Saccharomyces cerevisiae S288C: one gene and its partners. Changing the gene in region 1 together with any one later gene gives a genetic interaction. Each region holds a gene or a part of one and is shown in the gene's direction. Other genes may lie near its edges. The genes, in order: RMI1, SLX1, MMS4 and RNH202.

Evidence for each region.
Region 2: mutations in RMI1 (region 1) and SLX1 are lethal when combined (synthetic lethality), as found in Saccharomyces cerevisiae (4 studies listed by BioGRID, with this or other methods).
Region 3: mutations in RMI1 (region 1) and MMS4 are lethal when combined (synthetic lethality), as found in Saccharomyces cerevisiae (7 studies listed by BioGRID, with this or other methods).
Region 4: mutations in RMI1 (region 1) and RNH202 together harm fitness more than expected from each alone (negative genetic interaction), as found in Saccharomyces cerevisiae (4 studies listed by BioGRID, with this or other methods).

Annotation. Positions count from the first base shown.
Region 1 is NC_001148.4:501,516-504,987, forward strand, and holds RMI1 (Rmi1p), read left to right. Parts: upstream 1-2,001; coding exon 2,002-2,727; downstream 2,728-3,472. Other genes in the region: putative serine/threonine protein kinase SKS1, read right to left, coding at 1-668; methylenetetrahydrofolate reductase (NAD(P)H) MET12, read right to left, coding at 2,824-3,472. UniProt on the Saccharomyces cerevisiae protein: Structure-specific DNA-binding protein with a preference for cruciform structures. Also binds single-stranded DNA (ssDNA). Functions together with SGS1 and TOP3 to maintain genome integrity. Essential for proper meiotic cell division.
Region 2 is NC_001134.8:673,196-676,727, forward strand, and holds SLX1 (endonuclease), read left to right. Parts: upstream 1-2,117; coding exon 2,118-3,032; downstream 3,033-3,532. Other genes in the region: YBR225W (uncharacterized protein), read left to right, coding at 1-134; MCX1 (Mcx1p), read right to left, coding at 377-1,939; glucan 1,3-alpha-glucosidase ROT2, read right to left, coding at 3,162-3,532. UniProt on the Saccharomyces cerevisiae protein: Catalytic subunit of the SLX1-SLX4 structure-specific endonuclease that resolves DNA secondary structures generated during DNA repair and recombination.
Region 3 is NC_001134.8:439,802-444,608, forward strand, and holds MMS4 (Mms4p), read left to right. Parts: upstream 1-1,713; coding exon 1,714-3,789; downstream 3,790-4,807. Other genes in the region: ubiquitin-binding serine/threonine protein kinase VPS15, read left to right, coding at 1-1,514; Hsp70 nucleotide exchange factor FES1, read right to left, coding at 4,020-4,807. UniProt on the Saccharomyces cerevisiae protein: Interacts with MUS81 to form a DNA structure-specific endonuclease with substrate preference for branched DNA structures with a 5'-end at the branch nick.
Region 4 is NC_001136.10:1,017,418-1,021,153, forward strand, and holds RNH202 (Rnh202p), read left to right. Parts: upstream 1-1,950; coding exon 1,951-3,003; downstream 3,004-3,736. Other genes in the region: exosome non-catalytic core subunit RRP45, read left to right, coding at 3,330-3,736. UniProt on the Saccharomyces cerevisiae protein: Non catalytic subunit of RNase H2, an endonuclease that specifically degrades the RNA of RNA:DNA hybrids. Participates in DNA replication, possibly by mediating the removal of lagging-strand Okazaki fragment RNA primers during DNA replication.

The DNA of each region.
Region 1 (3,472 bases):
GAACTGCCAACGCACACATTTGGAGCTAGATATTTAGATTTAGTGGAAAGCCCGAAATCGCAAAGATAAGCGTTGTCATTGCGATCCAGTAGGACATTTTCAGGTTTGATATCACAATGATATATACCGAGACGATGACAGTGATCTAATGCGGAGCAAAGCTGCAGAAAAACTTTCTTAATCAAAATACCATGATTTACAAAATGCTTATCGTCAACTATCGAGGTGAAAAGGTCCCTGTCGTAATAATCCATCACTATAAAAGTGGCAATAGAAGATTCTAAAACTTGGTGAATCTTCACGATATTGCCGTGAGACTGCACTCTTAGTTGGAAGGCAATCTCCCTGTAGTGTGGTAGCCTATTTAGTTCATTCTCAGTCAACTGTAATATCGAGTCTAGATCAACGGAAGGTAAGAACAATTTTTTTTGGAAACTTTTGAAAAAATGATACAGTTGCGTTTGCAGAAGAGTGGTTCGCGCCACTTGAGAGTTGTTGTTCAAACCGTTCTTATTATAAAACTCATCCATCGAGGAGGATTTGAAGACCGTTTTCACTGCATATTCACGGCTCGTCAGTATATCCACCACATGGAACACTAGTCCATACGCACCCGACCCTATTTGAGCCGTTATTCTGAAATTGTTCAGCAAGCAGTCTGACAGCATTTGTACACAAAATTTCTTGTCTGTGTTCTTATTTGATGTTTTCTTTTAAAGAGTTTTGTTTCCGCTAGGGCGATTTAAGTCAATAAGTAAATTTAACAATTTACTAAATATATTTTGTATAATATATAAGAATATACGCCTTAAGAATGTCCTCTCATGCGAAAAAGGTAGCAAGAGCATAAAAAGGAAAAAGAAAACGCTATAGTCATTTGTAGGCTCTTGTCTTTCTTCGTCTTCGTCCCGTGAGTGCGGACTCAGAAAACACCGCAATGATGTGGGTCCGGAATATCTATTGCACAGTTTTAGTAGGGTCACCGATATCGTTAAGGTTTGTGGTAGGAACAGAAGGTACTGCCGGCCCTGTATACTGCCCTTTTGTTCCGACCATTTCTTTTTTGCATTTGTCCCAAGATTCTCTCTCCCCACAAAATCTGCTCAAGTATCTGTCCAACGCGCTTTCTTCGGCTGATAGATAAGTTCCGATTTCGTGGGAAGCAAAAAAAAAAAAAAAAAGAAAAAAAGAGTCTGTCCGAGAAATGTCCCGGAAAACGTGGGTGTGCGGTGAGGAGATTGTACTTCCATCCCACATTCCTCGTGTTTGATTGGCTGCAAGCCACTTGATGCCTAGAAAAGAAACACCGCGTGGTGCATCTATGTCCATATCACGCGCGCTAAAACAGCATGTAGAGAGCGCGAGGGCGGCGTACTGCACCATTCTAATAGGAAATCCGGGATGAATGCCCTCTCCGGAAATACCTCCACTAAGCCTCAATGGAAAGTTGTTCCGCTCACGCGAACAGGTTTTTCCGGGGAGTCGAGAACTACAGTGACGTAAATACGACGACATCGCTAGAGCCAGCAGAAGCCTCCATACATTCAGACTAATTAGTTGACGGGCTTGAGCCAACTAGACATATTATGTAGGCACATATGCTCCAACCAATACATATGTGTACATAGAGTACAGCTCTTCCCAGCGCATCCGCTATCGTCCTCTTGACAGGTCCGGCTATTTATTATCCGCGGCATCCGCGGCCCAGCGCACAATAATAGATTACTTTGCAATGCAAGCGGTCTTGGCTGTTTGCTCTGAGGGTCCATCTTCGTTTATTTCTTTATTTACTAAATTAATTATGATACTGCACTCAGGACGGGCCAAGAAAGCATGTAGCGTGAAGAGAAACTAATTATTAAGAAAAAAGAAAAAAAAAAAAAAAAAAAAAAAGAAAAGGAAAAAGGAAAAAGATAAACCAATCATACAATCTTTACAGAAAGGGAGTACTGAGAAGAAGGCCAAAATACTGCAGAGCATACATACTACCGAGTGGATGGAATGTCTTTTTCATCTATCTTATCACAGGATATCACAGATGACATTACACCACCAGCGTATTCCGCCACCTTGGGGTCGAGAGAACAGATTGTTTTCAGAGCTTACCAAAATGAACCTTGGTTGGCTGGTACTGCTTCGAATCTTATCTTAGATAAAAAACTTGTTATTGTAGACAGAGAACTGTTGTTCCAGGTGTTGATGGTAGAGAATATCACCAAATCCAAGCTAACACAGATCGATGATATAAAAACCAAGCTGGATCCGAAAAAACAGAAAGTGGATAGACTACGATCAGGCGCGCAAGGAAATGGCGCTAAGAAGTACGAGGTCATCACTCAAGTGGACATGGAAGATGACGGGAATGTGGCGGATAACAACTGCGCCAAGGAAAATAATAGCAACAATAATAGCAGTGCCGCCAAGAATAAAGCAGTGTTTAAATTGACACTACAAAGTAAGTCGGGCGACGTTTTTTTTGCTATCAACTCGACTCCAATATCTTGGAGCTCTTGCATGCTGGGTTCTAAAATTGTGATACTGCCGGGAACTGTGTTCAATAGGGGCGTTTTCATATTGAAGGACTCACAAGTCATTTTTCTCGGCGGCATTAATAGAGTTTGGAATGAAAATAGAGATCAGAAATTTTGTGATTATTTGGAATCTAAATTACAACGTGACAAACAACTTGTAAATGGCGGCTCCAAGAAAAGGAAAGCCAATGATTAGCATATGCCTCTTCTTCTTAGAAGGGCGTTCTGCCCGTTATGTATACGTTAAATATTACATTATTTTCGCATTTTTGTATTTATATTCAGTGAAATATTAGGCTTGGTCGAGTAACATTTCCCATAGCTCGTCGGTTTCTTTGAAGTCGTGATGAACAATTGAGACAAGACAGTAGTCTTTATGCACTAGTCTTAGAAGAATATTGGCTGGGGTGTTCCTTGGAAATAACTTGGCCCACTCGGACCAGATACTAAACGCTTCATCTCTCCATGCCTTGAATGACTCTTCTTCAATGATTGTAGTCTGTTTGACCGGACTGTTGGGAAAAACACCCCATGTTACAACGCTAGAGCTGTGCGGGTCTAGGTTCGTTTCAAATGAACCAGATGAATCGCCCGCGTAATAACTGAATTTCCGACGCCCGTAATGGTCTAGCTTGGGTTTCAAAGTTGTTTCCCATTGCTGTCTATGAATAAACATTTCTACGAATGCCTTCTGATACAACCTCCCTTTCGCGGGCCCCCAGCCGAATATTTTATCACTACTCAATGTAGCATTTGTGGCAGGTTGCGATGCCAAAGTCAAATATCCGCGATAGTTTAGTTGGATTAGTTCTTCTTGTATTAACGCCGTTTCAGCTGATAAACCCAGGTCAGACCAGGGAATCGCATCCGTTGAACCTTCCAAATATTTTATAAAAATATCTTTTAAATCGCCAATTGTCTTTGGTATACCCCATAGTTCA
Region 2 (3,532 bases), on another chromosome or scaffold:
CAAAGGATACCGACCCCACCACTCTTTTCAAAAGATATGTGGAAGAACACATAGGAAAAATCGATGACAACGCTGGCTGCTTTAGAACTTTGTATGTGGTGGCGCAAAAGCCAAAGCTGCCATATACCAAATAATTGTGCCGCCGTTCCAATTTTTTTTTAAATTGTTCAAGAATTACTTCAATTTTTACTACTGGACAAAAAGCATTATGATAAGGAGTAGTCTCCCAGTATCGTAGAACCAATTTGAAACACTTTAGCCAATATTTATTAATTTTTTTTACTTCCCATGGCATAGTACTTTGTAGGAAGATTATTTGTTCATTTACTACATTTATTACATCTATATTTATATATTCTATACCATTCATTTTTTTTTATGTTAAGCTTCTCTTGGGAATTGTTGGGGTATGAATGTTAGCAGAATGACCCAACTCTTTTTCTAGCATAACTCCTAATTTTTTATCTTCTTCAGAAACGTCACGAATTAAACTGTCCTTTTCATCACCAGAATAGTATTTTACGTCCACTTGGGAAGCCAAAGAGTGCTCTGTTTCCTGTAACGAGTCGACAGTAGCTTCGTCGATTAAAACGTATGCTATGTTAGAACCCGGGCAATCATAATTAACGTTTAGCAGAAGTCTTTCCATTATCCCTCTCAACCCTCTGGCGCCAGTTCCTTCCTTGAGAGCAAATTGAGCAACTTTCTTTAGCGCCTTTTGTGTAACACACAATCTTACCCCAAATTGCTTAAAAATATATTCATATTGATCCAATAAGGCATTTTTAGGTTCTTTTAATATATGAAATAAATCGTCTCTTTGTAGAGGCTGCAGAGCAGTTATAATTGGGACTCTGCCAATTAATTCAGGAATTAGACCAAAGCTAACTAAATCTGTGGGGGTGGTCAAGTCTAAAGCACACACTTTTTTTCCGTTATCTAATTCAACCTGCTCAAGCGTATTGCTAAATCTGAACTTCTTCGCTCTTTCTTTTTCAACTTCTTTACTATTCGATGATTCAACAGACTCTCCTGCCTTCTGTATTTTCTTCATATCTTCTATCCTTTTAACAATATGCTTATCTAAACCAACAAAAGCTCCCATAATCATGAAAAGAATATTTGAAGTGTCTACAACAAATACTTCGTCCTTCTTTGTTGTAGTTTGATTTTTTTGTCCGTCAATATCATGCTTAACAGGCCTTTTAACGGTAATTTCCACTTTATGGCCCTCAATGATTTTCAATAATGACTGTTGAACCCCTTCTCCGGACACGTCTTTAGTGCCAATGCTTGCGGCAGGCTTGGCTAGTTTATCAATCTCATCAAGAACAATAATACCTTTTTCTGCTCTCGCAACATCAAATTCAGCATTTACGAGCAATCTTTCAATGCATACTTCAACATCTTCACCTATGTAACCTGCTTGAGTCAATTGTGTACAATCTGTAATTGCAATTGGAACGTTTAATATTTTCGCCAATGTTGTTGCCAACAAAGTCTTACCAGAACCTGAGGGACCAACGACAAGGACATTACTTTTGCTTAACTCTAAATCTTCGTCAACCTCTCTACCTGCTAAATTAAACTGTCTTTGAAGATTCCTCCAACCAGCCTTTGATTCGCTGTTTCCACTGAAAATTGGTTCATCCCTATCATCCGCGATTTTCTCTCGTTCCATCAATTCTCTCTGCCTTTGTAATTCCCCTTTCTTTTGCTTGTCATTGATTCTTAAATAGTGATTATAAACTGCCACGCTTAAAACCTTCTTACCAATCTCTTGACCAACAATGTACTCATCGAGGAATTTCTTCAATGCTTTTGGAGTGGGTATATTCGATAAACGAGACTGTGCCAGTTTCCCTGATGCTGTAGCAGCATATCGACCAATTCTACTAGAATAAGCTCTAAAAAAGTTTTGGCTTGCAGATTTCAACATGAGTGTGAAATGTAATTAGAGTGCCTTGTCTTCTATGGTTTTGTTTGATGAGCCGTTTGCTTTTCTTTTTAATTTTAATATATACCACTGATGACTTATTCCCTTCTATCATCGAAAAAATATTGTCAAATTAATGTTCTCTTTTTTCAAAAAATATTAAAAAGATAAGAAAGGTACCATGTCGCAGAAAATACAGCAGCATCAGTTTCCTGATTTTTATTGTTGTTATCTACTACAATCGATTAACAAGAGGCAATCATTTTACGTTGGATCAACTCCTAACCCAGTACGACGTTTGAGGCAGCATAATGGGAAATTGGCTGTTGGAGGGGCATATCGAACCAAACGTGACGGTTCAAGGCCCTGGGAAATGATAATGATTGTGCGGGGCTTCCCAAGTAAGATAGCAGCTTTACAGTTTGAACATGCATGGCAACATGGGTACCAAACGCATTATATTGCCGAAAAAGATCGTGTTGTAAAGCATAAAGCAGGTGGAAGAACTTTACATCACAAAGTTGCATTAATGAAGTTACTTTTAAAGCATGAATTTTTTCAAAGGATGAACTTGATAGTCGAGGTTTTTAATATAAAGGCTTGGGAGGTTTGGAAACAGGACAAATTTTTTATTGAAAGAGACAGATTTCCGATTAATATACAAATAAATGAAAATGCGCTTGAAGAACCAAAGGAGAAAACTGTGGATGTTCTCATGGATCATAGTGATGAGAATTTAAAAGTGGTGGAAGCTGTATACACTAAAGTCATTGAAAATGAAAGAAACATATTCGAAACTTTCGAAAAGAAACTAACTACAGGGGTAGTGCGATGTGAAATTTGTGAGAAAGAAATTGACTACACGTCTGAAGAGCAAAATCTGAAGCCGTTTGTAGCGCTTTGCAATAATAAAGACTGTGGGTGTGTTAACCACTTGAAATGTCTTCACAGGTACTTTCTAGATGATGAACAGTTGATGGTAGGGAGAAGAAATTTGATACCTCGAGGTGGGAAATGTCCGAAATGTGATATGTTTTGCGACTGGACGACCCTAGTCAAGTTTTCGACAAGAATGAAGTTAGCTCACGGGAAGTAGGGCCTGACACAATTTTCGGTTCTTTTTTTTCTATAGATAATGGTTATATGTTATATTTACGGATATTTTTACGTTTACTTTGTAAGAAAGAGCTAAAAAGATGTAAAGATATCACTTCGTTTTTTTCCCTCAAAAAATAACTTCCCAATCTTCAGTTATGTCAAGCGATAGGTTAAGAATGGTGATCTTATTATCATTCTCATATGACGATCTAGTCGGCAATGAACTTTCTTCGCCATTTTTTTTGACTTTAATACTGTCTTTCAACGTTATGTTGTGTTGTAAATTATTCTTTGCGATAATGATTTTTTCAATATTGGTATTCCTCAAAGTATTGTGGTGAATGCCTGTCAAATTCTCGGGAATATGACTTCGAACATTTTTTAAGGTATTGTTTTCGAAAATGAACTGAGTTTCTACGTACTCACCTCTTTGGTAGCCAAAAGTTTCTCCATCATCAACATAAAGATCTCCAACGGCTCGTCCCTCGGTATCAGGGG
Region 3 (4,807 bases), on another chromosome or scaffold:
ATAGCAATAAGCTAAATATTAACGGTAGCAAACAGCTATCTACCGTCATGGACATAAATGGATCACTAATATTCAAAAATAAGTCCATTGCCACTACTACTTCTAATTTGAAGAACGTTTTTGTTCAGTTAGAACCAACGTCCTATCACATGCATTCTCCAAATCATGGCTTGAAAGATAATGCAAATGTTAAACCAGAAAGGAAGGTAGTCGTCAGCAACAGCTATGAAGGCGACGTTGAAAGCATAGAAAAATTCCTATCGACTTTCAAAATTTTACCTCCTCTGAGAGATTATAAGGAGTTTGGGCCTATTCAAGAGATTGTACGGAGTCCAAACATGGGTAATTTGAGGGGCAAGTTGATAGCTACTTTGATGGAAAACGAACCCAATTCTATTACGTCTTCTGCTGTTTCTCCAGGAGAAACACCCTATTTAATAACAGGTTCAGATCAAGGTGTAATCAAGATTTGGAACCTGAAAGAGATTATCGTGGGCGAGGTTTACTCTTCTTCTTTAACTTATGACTGCTCCTCTACCGTAACTCAGATAACCATGATTCCTAACTTTGACGCGTTTGCCGTTTCCAGTAAAGATGGACAAATAATTGTATTAAAGGTTAATCATTACCAACAAGAAAGTGAAGTCAAATTTTTGAATTGCGAATGCATCAGGAAAATTAACTTGAAGAATTTTGGTAAAAATGAATACGCAGTGAGAATGAGAGCATTTGTGAATGAGGAAAAATCTCTACTAGTAGCATTGACGAATTTGTCAAGGGTTATTATATTTGATATTAGAACCCTGGAGAGGTTACAAATTATAGAGAATTCTCCAAGGCATGGTGCCGTTTCAAGCATCTGTATCGATGAAGAGTGTTGTGTCCTAATTTTGGGGACGACTAGAGGTATTATTGATATATGGGATATCCGTTTCAACGTGCTGATAAGGAGTTGGTCCTTTGGGGACCACGCACCAATCACGCATGTGGAGGTTTGTCAGTTTTATGGAAAGAATTCTGTAATTGTTGTAGGAGGTAGTTCAAAAACATTTCTAACAATATGGAATTTTGTTAAGGGGCATTGTCAGTATGCTTTCATAAATTCTGATGAACAGCCATCTATGGAGCACTTTTTACCAATTGAGAAAGGCTTAGAAGAATTAAATTTTTGTGGAATCAGGTCTTTAAACGCACTAAGCACTATCTCAGTATCTAATGATAAAATTCTTCTTACCGATGAAGCAACAAGTTCCATTGTTATGTTTAGCCTAAATGAGCTTTCTTCTTCTAAAGCAGTAATAAGTCCTTCAAGATTCAGTGACGTTTTTATTCCTACACAAGTTACGGCAAATCTCACAATGTTATTGAGAAAAATGAAACGTACTAGCACTCATTCAGTAGATGATTCTCTATATCATCATGATATTATAAATTCTATATCTACATGTGAAGTTGATGAGACACCTTTGCTGGTTGCTTGTGATAACTCAGGGCTTATTGGAATCTTCCAATAATTTTTTTTATTTTATTCAGCTTCTTTATTCTAAATGCGTATAAATTTGTATTCACCTTAAACATTTTCGATCATTTAGGAAAGGGCTTGCAACGCGTTGAAGTACCCTTTTCACGAAAAAAATGGTTGTATACGTAAATAAAGAACAATGTATGGATTATGGTATAGAATAATAGTAGTCACATATTGCAGCTAGTTAAATGAGCCAGATCGTTGATTTTGTTGAGGACAAAGATTCAAGAAACGATGCCAGTATTCAGATCATCGATGGACCCTCAAATGTTGAAATTATCGCTCTCTCGGAATCAATGGATCAAGATGAGTGCAAAAGGGCACATGTAAGCTCTGCAGAGATGATTCCATCATCACCGCAAAGAAAATCTGTTTCGAATGATGTTGAGAATGTTGACCTAAACAAATCTATCGAACTTTCTGCGCCGTTCTTCCAAGATATCAGTATAAGCAAGCTAGATGACTTTTCTACAACAGTAAATTCCATCATAGATTCGTCTCTCAGAAATGAGAATAATGCAAAAGGAAACGCGAAAAAACTTTTGGATGATCTAATAAGTGATGAATGGTCAGCTGATCTTGAGTCGAGTGGAAAGAAGCACAACAAATCACAATACAATTTGAGGGACATCGCAGAGAAATGGGGAGTACAGTCTTTAAAAAATCCAGAGCCTATTGCTGTTGACTGCGAATATAAGACACAAGGAATCGGAAAAACCAATAGTGACATTAGTGATAGTCCGAAATCACAGATAGGAGCAGCTGATATACTGTTCGATTTTCCACTGTCTCCAGTAAAACATGAGAACCCAACTGAAGAAAAGCACAATTCGATTGCTAATGAAAATTCTTCACCAGATAATAGCCTGAAACCAGCAGGAAAACAAAATCATGGTGAAGATGGGACATCCATGGCAAAAAGGGTATACAATAAAGGTGAAGACGAGCAAGAACACCTTCCGAAAGGAAAGAAGAGAACCATAGCGTTATCAAGAACACTAATCAACAGCACCAAACTACCTGATACAGTAGAACTAAATCTTTCTAAATTTCTCGATTCCTCAGATAGTATTACTACTGATGTACTTTCAACCCCTGCAAAGGGGTCTAACATAGTAAGGACAGGTAGTCAACCAATCTTTAGCAACGCTAATTGTTTTCAGGAAGCAAAACGCTCGAAAACATTAACGGCTGAGGATCCCAAATGTACTAAAAATACTGCCAGAGAGGTATCACAACTAGAGAATTATATTGCCTATGGGCAATACTATACTAGAGAAGACTCAAAAAACAAAATACGACACTTGTTAAAAGAAAACAAAAATGCTTTTAAGCGAGTTAACCAGATATATCGAGATAATATAAAAGCACGCTCTCAAATGATTATAGAGTTTTCGCCTAGCCTTCTCCAGTTATTTAAAAAAGGAGACAGTGATCTGCAACAACAATTGGCACCAGCAGTTGTGCAATCAAGCTATAACGATTCTATGCCGCTTTTAAGATTTCTTCGAAAATGTGACAGTATTTACGACTTTAGTAACGATTTCTATTACCCCTGTGATCCCAAAATAGTTGAAGAAAACGTTTTGATTCTATATTATGATGCGCAAGAATTTTTTGAACAATACACTTCACAAAAGAAAGAATTATATAGGAAGATACGATTTTTCTCAAAGAATGGAAAACATGTGATTCTTATACTAAGCGATATAAATAAACTCAAAAGAGCTATTTTCCAATTAGAAAATGAAAAGTACAAAGCTAGGGTAGAACAACGATTGTCAGGAACAGAAGAAGCTTTAAGACCGAGAAGTAAAAAATCAAGCCAAGTTGGAAAATTAGGGATAAAAAAATTTGATTTAGAGCAACGATTGCGCTTCATTGATAGAGAATGGCATGTCAAAATACATACTGTAAATTCACATATGGAGTTTATTAATTCTCTGCCGAACCTAGTGTCATTAATTGGAAAACAGCGCATGGATCCCGCAATTCGGTATATGAAATATGCTCATTTGAATGTAAAATCCGCTCAGGATAGTACAGAAACGCTAAAGAAAACCTTTCATCAGATAGGGAGAATGCCTGAAATGAAGGCGAATAATGTCGTGAGCCTATACCCCAGTTTTCAATCATTACTTGAAGATATTGAAAAGGGAAGACTGCAATCAGACAACGAAGGTAAATACTTGATGACTGAGGCAGTAGAAAAAAGATTGTACAAACTGTTTACTTGTACTGATCCAAATGATACTATTGAATGATGATCGAACGAAACTTTGTATATAAGAACATACCTTAAGGCAGTCGTTTTGAAAATCACTGCAGCTCTATTTCCCCCTCCTTACCTTTTTAATGAATTCCATTTTACAGAAAGTACTATTGATAAATATTCGTAATAAAATAAAACAGTGTTAATAATAAATGTTCGAGATTCCGGTTAAAGATAATATGAAATGGTGAATGTAATATCATTTTATTTCTACGGACGTAATCATAATACATACTTTACGGCTAAATAATCGTCTTCATTAAGTCTGTCCTTTAGAGGCTCGATATGTTTGTAACCTTCGTTCAATTTGTGCAATTCCTGTTCATTAAATTTTATTCCGGAAGATATCAGGTGAGAGAGAAAAGACAGAACTCTATCTATGATGTTCAAGTTACTCTCGTCAGACAAGCACTCAATCGTACTTTCAATTACTCCATCCTTTCTCAGCACACTGATTATATTTTCATCAATCTTAACAGATGACAAATATGCGGTCAATAAGGCAATGGCTCTCATTTTCAGTTTTGGTTTGGCGGTGTTATCACTTAATACAGGTGCTATGCAGTCGAGCCCATTTAATTTGAAAAACTTTTCTGAGATATCTTTGTGGTTTCTTATTAGATTAGATAGTGCGTAAAAAGCTTTTGTTCTCACGTCGAGTGGCTTTGTCTTGTCACTAGCTATTTCGATAAGGCTTCGCAGACCATTGTCGTATTTCATGAAATTATTTTGCGAATCCAAGTTGTTTTGCACAGCCGTTCCAATAATGGATAAAGCAGCAGCACGTAGTTCTTCATCCTTCGTCTGAACAAGAACATCCAACAATGGCTCCCACAGTTTTAAATTTTCGATATTATTAGCATTATCTAAGTTCTCAATCAACATTTCAAAGTTGTCAAATGCAACGAGTTTTGTTTCTAAGTCAACCTCCGGATTCATAATAACAGCCATGGATTCTTTCATTAAGGTTGGATCGTCAGGACCACCACCACCGAATAACTGCTGTAGCA
Region 4 (3,736 bases), on another chromosome or scaffold:
GGGCTAAATTATTTGTTATGGCAATATTATTAGGTAGGAAAGATACGACTTTACTGAAATTGTTGGAAATACAAAAAGGAGCAGATCATTCCACATAATGATATCATTATTCCCTCTTTCATTTAAAAAATCACCGTTTTTATTTTATTAATTATCAGTCTCTGCATTTTCAGATTCTGTTAAATTTGATAAATGTTTTTCGCCGTTTATAAAGTATTTTTGCATCATGTATGATAATGTATTAGTAATATGAAAACTGGTGTTATTAATAATCAGTGGTCAGGATGTAGTATTAGTTTGGAATAAAAGCAAATCTCCTCATGCTATATAAGAGGAATATAGAAAATACAGGCCAGTTGTTCTTATTAAACATGAACATAATAGTGGGTCTAGCAGTTACTATACATTTAAATTGGCGACTACTATTATTCGTACATTCGACTATAGCAGTATTTCCAATTAATGGATCTTTAACTCAGCTATTATACTGTTTGAGTTCCTCGTTTAACATTTCCCTGTCCAACAGGGACTTAAAAGTATGTAGGGTTTGCATTAATATACAGTAGAGACACTTAAATTGTTACTATAGTAACTCAAGTTACTATTCGTGAGAATATTGACTTATTATTCTTCATGAATAGTCGATTAGTAATCAAATGAAGTAATCAGATGTGCAATGCGTCTTTAATGTTTCAGACTGGAGAATGATACGTAGCTACATAATAATCTGGGTACAGTAAACTCAATGATCTATTACCTGAATGATTAATCTGATGCTTGCAATATAACAATTCATCTCGTGACATTAACCATAAGAATTACTCTCATCATTGCTATATCGGCAAGGTTTAATATGTCCAGTCGGAGTGTATTTTATATCTCTTTCTTTTAGAATAAGAATATCTGCTTTTATTCTTAATCAATACTACAACCTAACTACTAACTATCAACACTGTTAATTACGATTCGCTCCAACAAATTTGGTTTTGTGGATTCTTAAATTCTCGAGAAAAACTTCTAATATATCTTGTATACCAGATACTGTAGCCTTTAGCAACGATAGAATACGAACAGTTCTCTTAAAATTCGCCTATTTCTCATACCGTTGCAGATATAACTAAAGTATTGACATTCAGTGACATCTGGCGCTGATATCATTATTTAACACACGTATGTTTGCGTGGCATTGTCATTTTTAAGAGCAGAGAAAGAAACAATGAGCTACTTGAGTGTGACAAGTTGAAAAGTCCACCAATTTCACGTTGAATTAGGATTCATATATGAAATTCTAGTCATTAATTAGAATTGTAAGTTTCTGAGCTTTTTTTTCCTAGTAAATTAAACTTGTCTAATACATCCAGTTGTGATGTATTCTATATCTCAGTTCTACAGTAGCACGAAGTTTCCCGGCCTCTCTATTCAATAAATTCAGCTATCGCTGATTATCAACAGCAGCAACGAATAAAGCATAAAAGAACAGAAAAATTCTTCTACAAATTTATTCTGTAAAGATTCAGCTTCTTTCGTGAATTTCTAAGTTCATGAGGGGAATTTAAGTATGGCGTTTCTTCGTAGCGCCATTGTCTTGAGCCAAAATGGAACTCTAAAAATTTTCACGACATTTTACTAGTCAGTAAAGTGAGCATATACATATAAGAAGAAATTTCAAAAGGTAAAAAATGGAGCAACTTCCAGCTCATTATCTTTTCAATGTTGTCGATGCCATAGTTGGATTATGAAATCTCATATTCATAACCACAACGCGTTTTTTTCCTTTTAAGGCACTACAGACTCCATTCTCACAAGTTTGTCAAAAGCACGAGCGCGATGAGAATTAAAGTCAGATCTGGTTAATGATTCTGGTACAACAGCAGAAACAAATCGAGTACAAATTTAATCTTATTCTGTCGCAATAGTTGACTTTCTTTTCTGGCCTCTCGAACAAAAAGCATGACCGTTTCCAACATTGGGGGGGAAGAACGACTAATAATTTTACCAGACGATTATGAAACTTCGAAAACTATAAACACTTTTACACTGCCGCCACCTTCCAATATTACATCCAAACCTCGTATCGAGCTCTTCGAAAATATTAATGGAAAACTTTACGAAATAAGATCTTTTCAATTCGGCAAAGGGCCCTCGTATTCACATGAGGAAGATTTGGCAAATGATAAATATCACTATACTAAGGAAAATCACCCGATCAAATCAACTTTCATTGTAAATACGTCTGATCCCACCGATGGTTATGTTTTTAACTCAAGCAAAATACACTTTTGTTCTTTATACGATATTGCTTTTAGTTTGATTGGATTTTACTATAGAAACAGTGTTTCAGCAGATGAACAAGATTACTCCAATTCAAGTGATACTGGTGAAAACCAAAAAAGCAACAGCAAAACCAATGAGAAATTTCTTACGGTGCGTGATTACCATGATTTCTTAACGGATAACCATGACAAGAATTGGGAAAACATTTCTTTAAGTCGTCTCAAGAGTGGCTTAGCAAAAGTTAGTGAAACCATTGAGGAAGCTGGTGACGTCTATTACAAGATCACATCTGCAATGATAACACAATTTTTGTTAGGCAAGGTATCAAAAATTGTAGAAAACTTTCCTCCAAGTATCCCTACACTTAAAAATGCCCCAACGGAAATAAAACAGTGCTACAAGGTAGTTATGGCTACAAATCTTTTAGTTTCCCTGATTCCAAGGGCGGCCTACCATAATTTACTTACCTTTTCACCTACAATGGATAGTGGTTGCCTAAATCCGGATATAAAAGCTAGCTTCATAGAACTCGAAAACTACGAGACTACGAACGAATTACAGAATGCTGAAAGAGAATTACTGATGAAAAGTGCCATGAATGTAGGCCTAAATTCGAATGGCAGGGTTTCATTGCCAGTGAAAAAAGTTACCAAAAAAATAGTTCAAAATAAAAAACCAAAAGTAGCCATAGGAAAAGGGGCCATTGATGGATTTTTTAAACGTAAGTAGCTAGTATCATAATTAAACAGCAATTTGAATGCTATAACTCGGTGGTGATGACCTCAGTGCGAGATAATTACACAATATTGTCACTACCAACGAATGGGCTACCTTTTTTTTCCTTTCTCGAATTCAAGAAAAAATTAACAACTTTTCCCTCGATGATGTTAACAAATGTCTGAATATAAAGGAATAGGAAACGGTTGCTAGATTGTATTTACCTTACCAACTTTCAAGTTTTTTTTCTAACTTCCTAACTTTCAGTCTCGATACATTAATCAACAGGACGTAGTGATTGCAAAATTGTTCAGAATATACATTAGATTAAAAGACAAATGGCCAAAGACATTGAGATATCCGCATCCGAGTCAAAATTTATCTTAGAAGCACTGAGACAGAATTATAGGTTGGACGGCCGCTCCTTTGATCAATTTCGTGACGTGGAAATAACGTTTGGTAAAGAATTTGGTGATGTTAGCGTAAAAATGGGCAACACCAAAGTTCACTGCAGGATTAGTTGTCAAATAGCACAACCATACGAAGACAGGCCATTTGAAGGATTATTTGTAATATCTACAGAAATATCTCCTATGGCTGGTTCTCAATTTGAAAATGGAAATATCACGGGGGAAGATGAAGTTTTATGTTCAAGAATAATTGAAAAATCTGTTAGGCGGTCGGGCGCATTGGACGTGGAAGGACTATGTATCGTTGCTGGCAGTAAATGCTGGGCTGTGAGAGC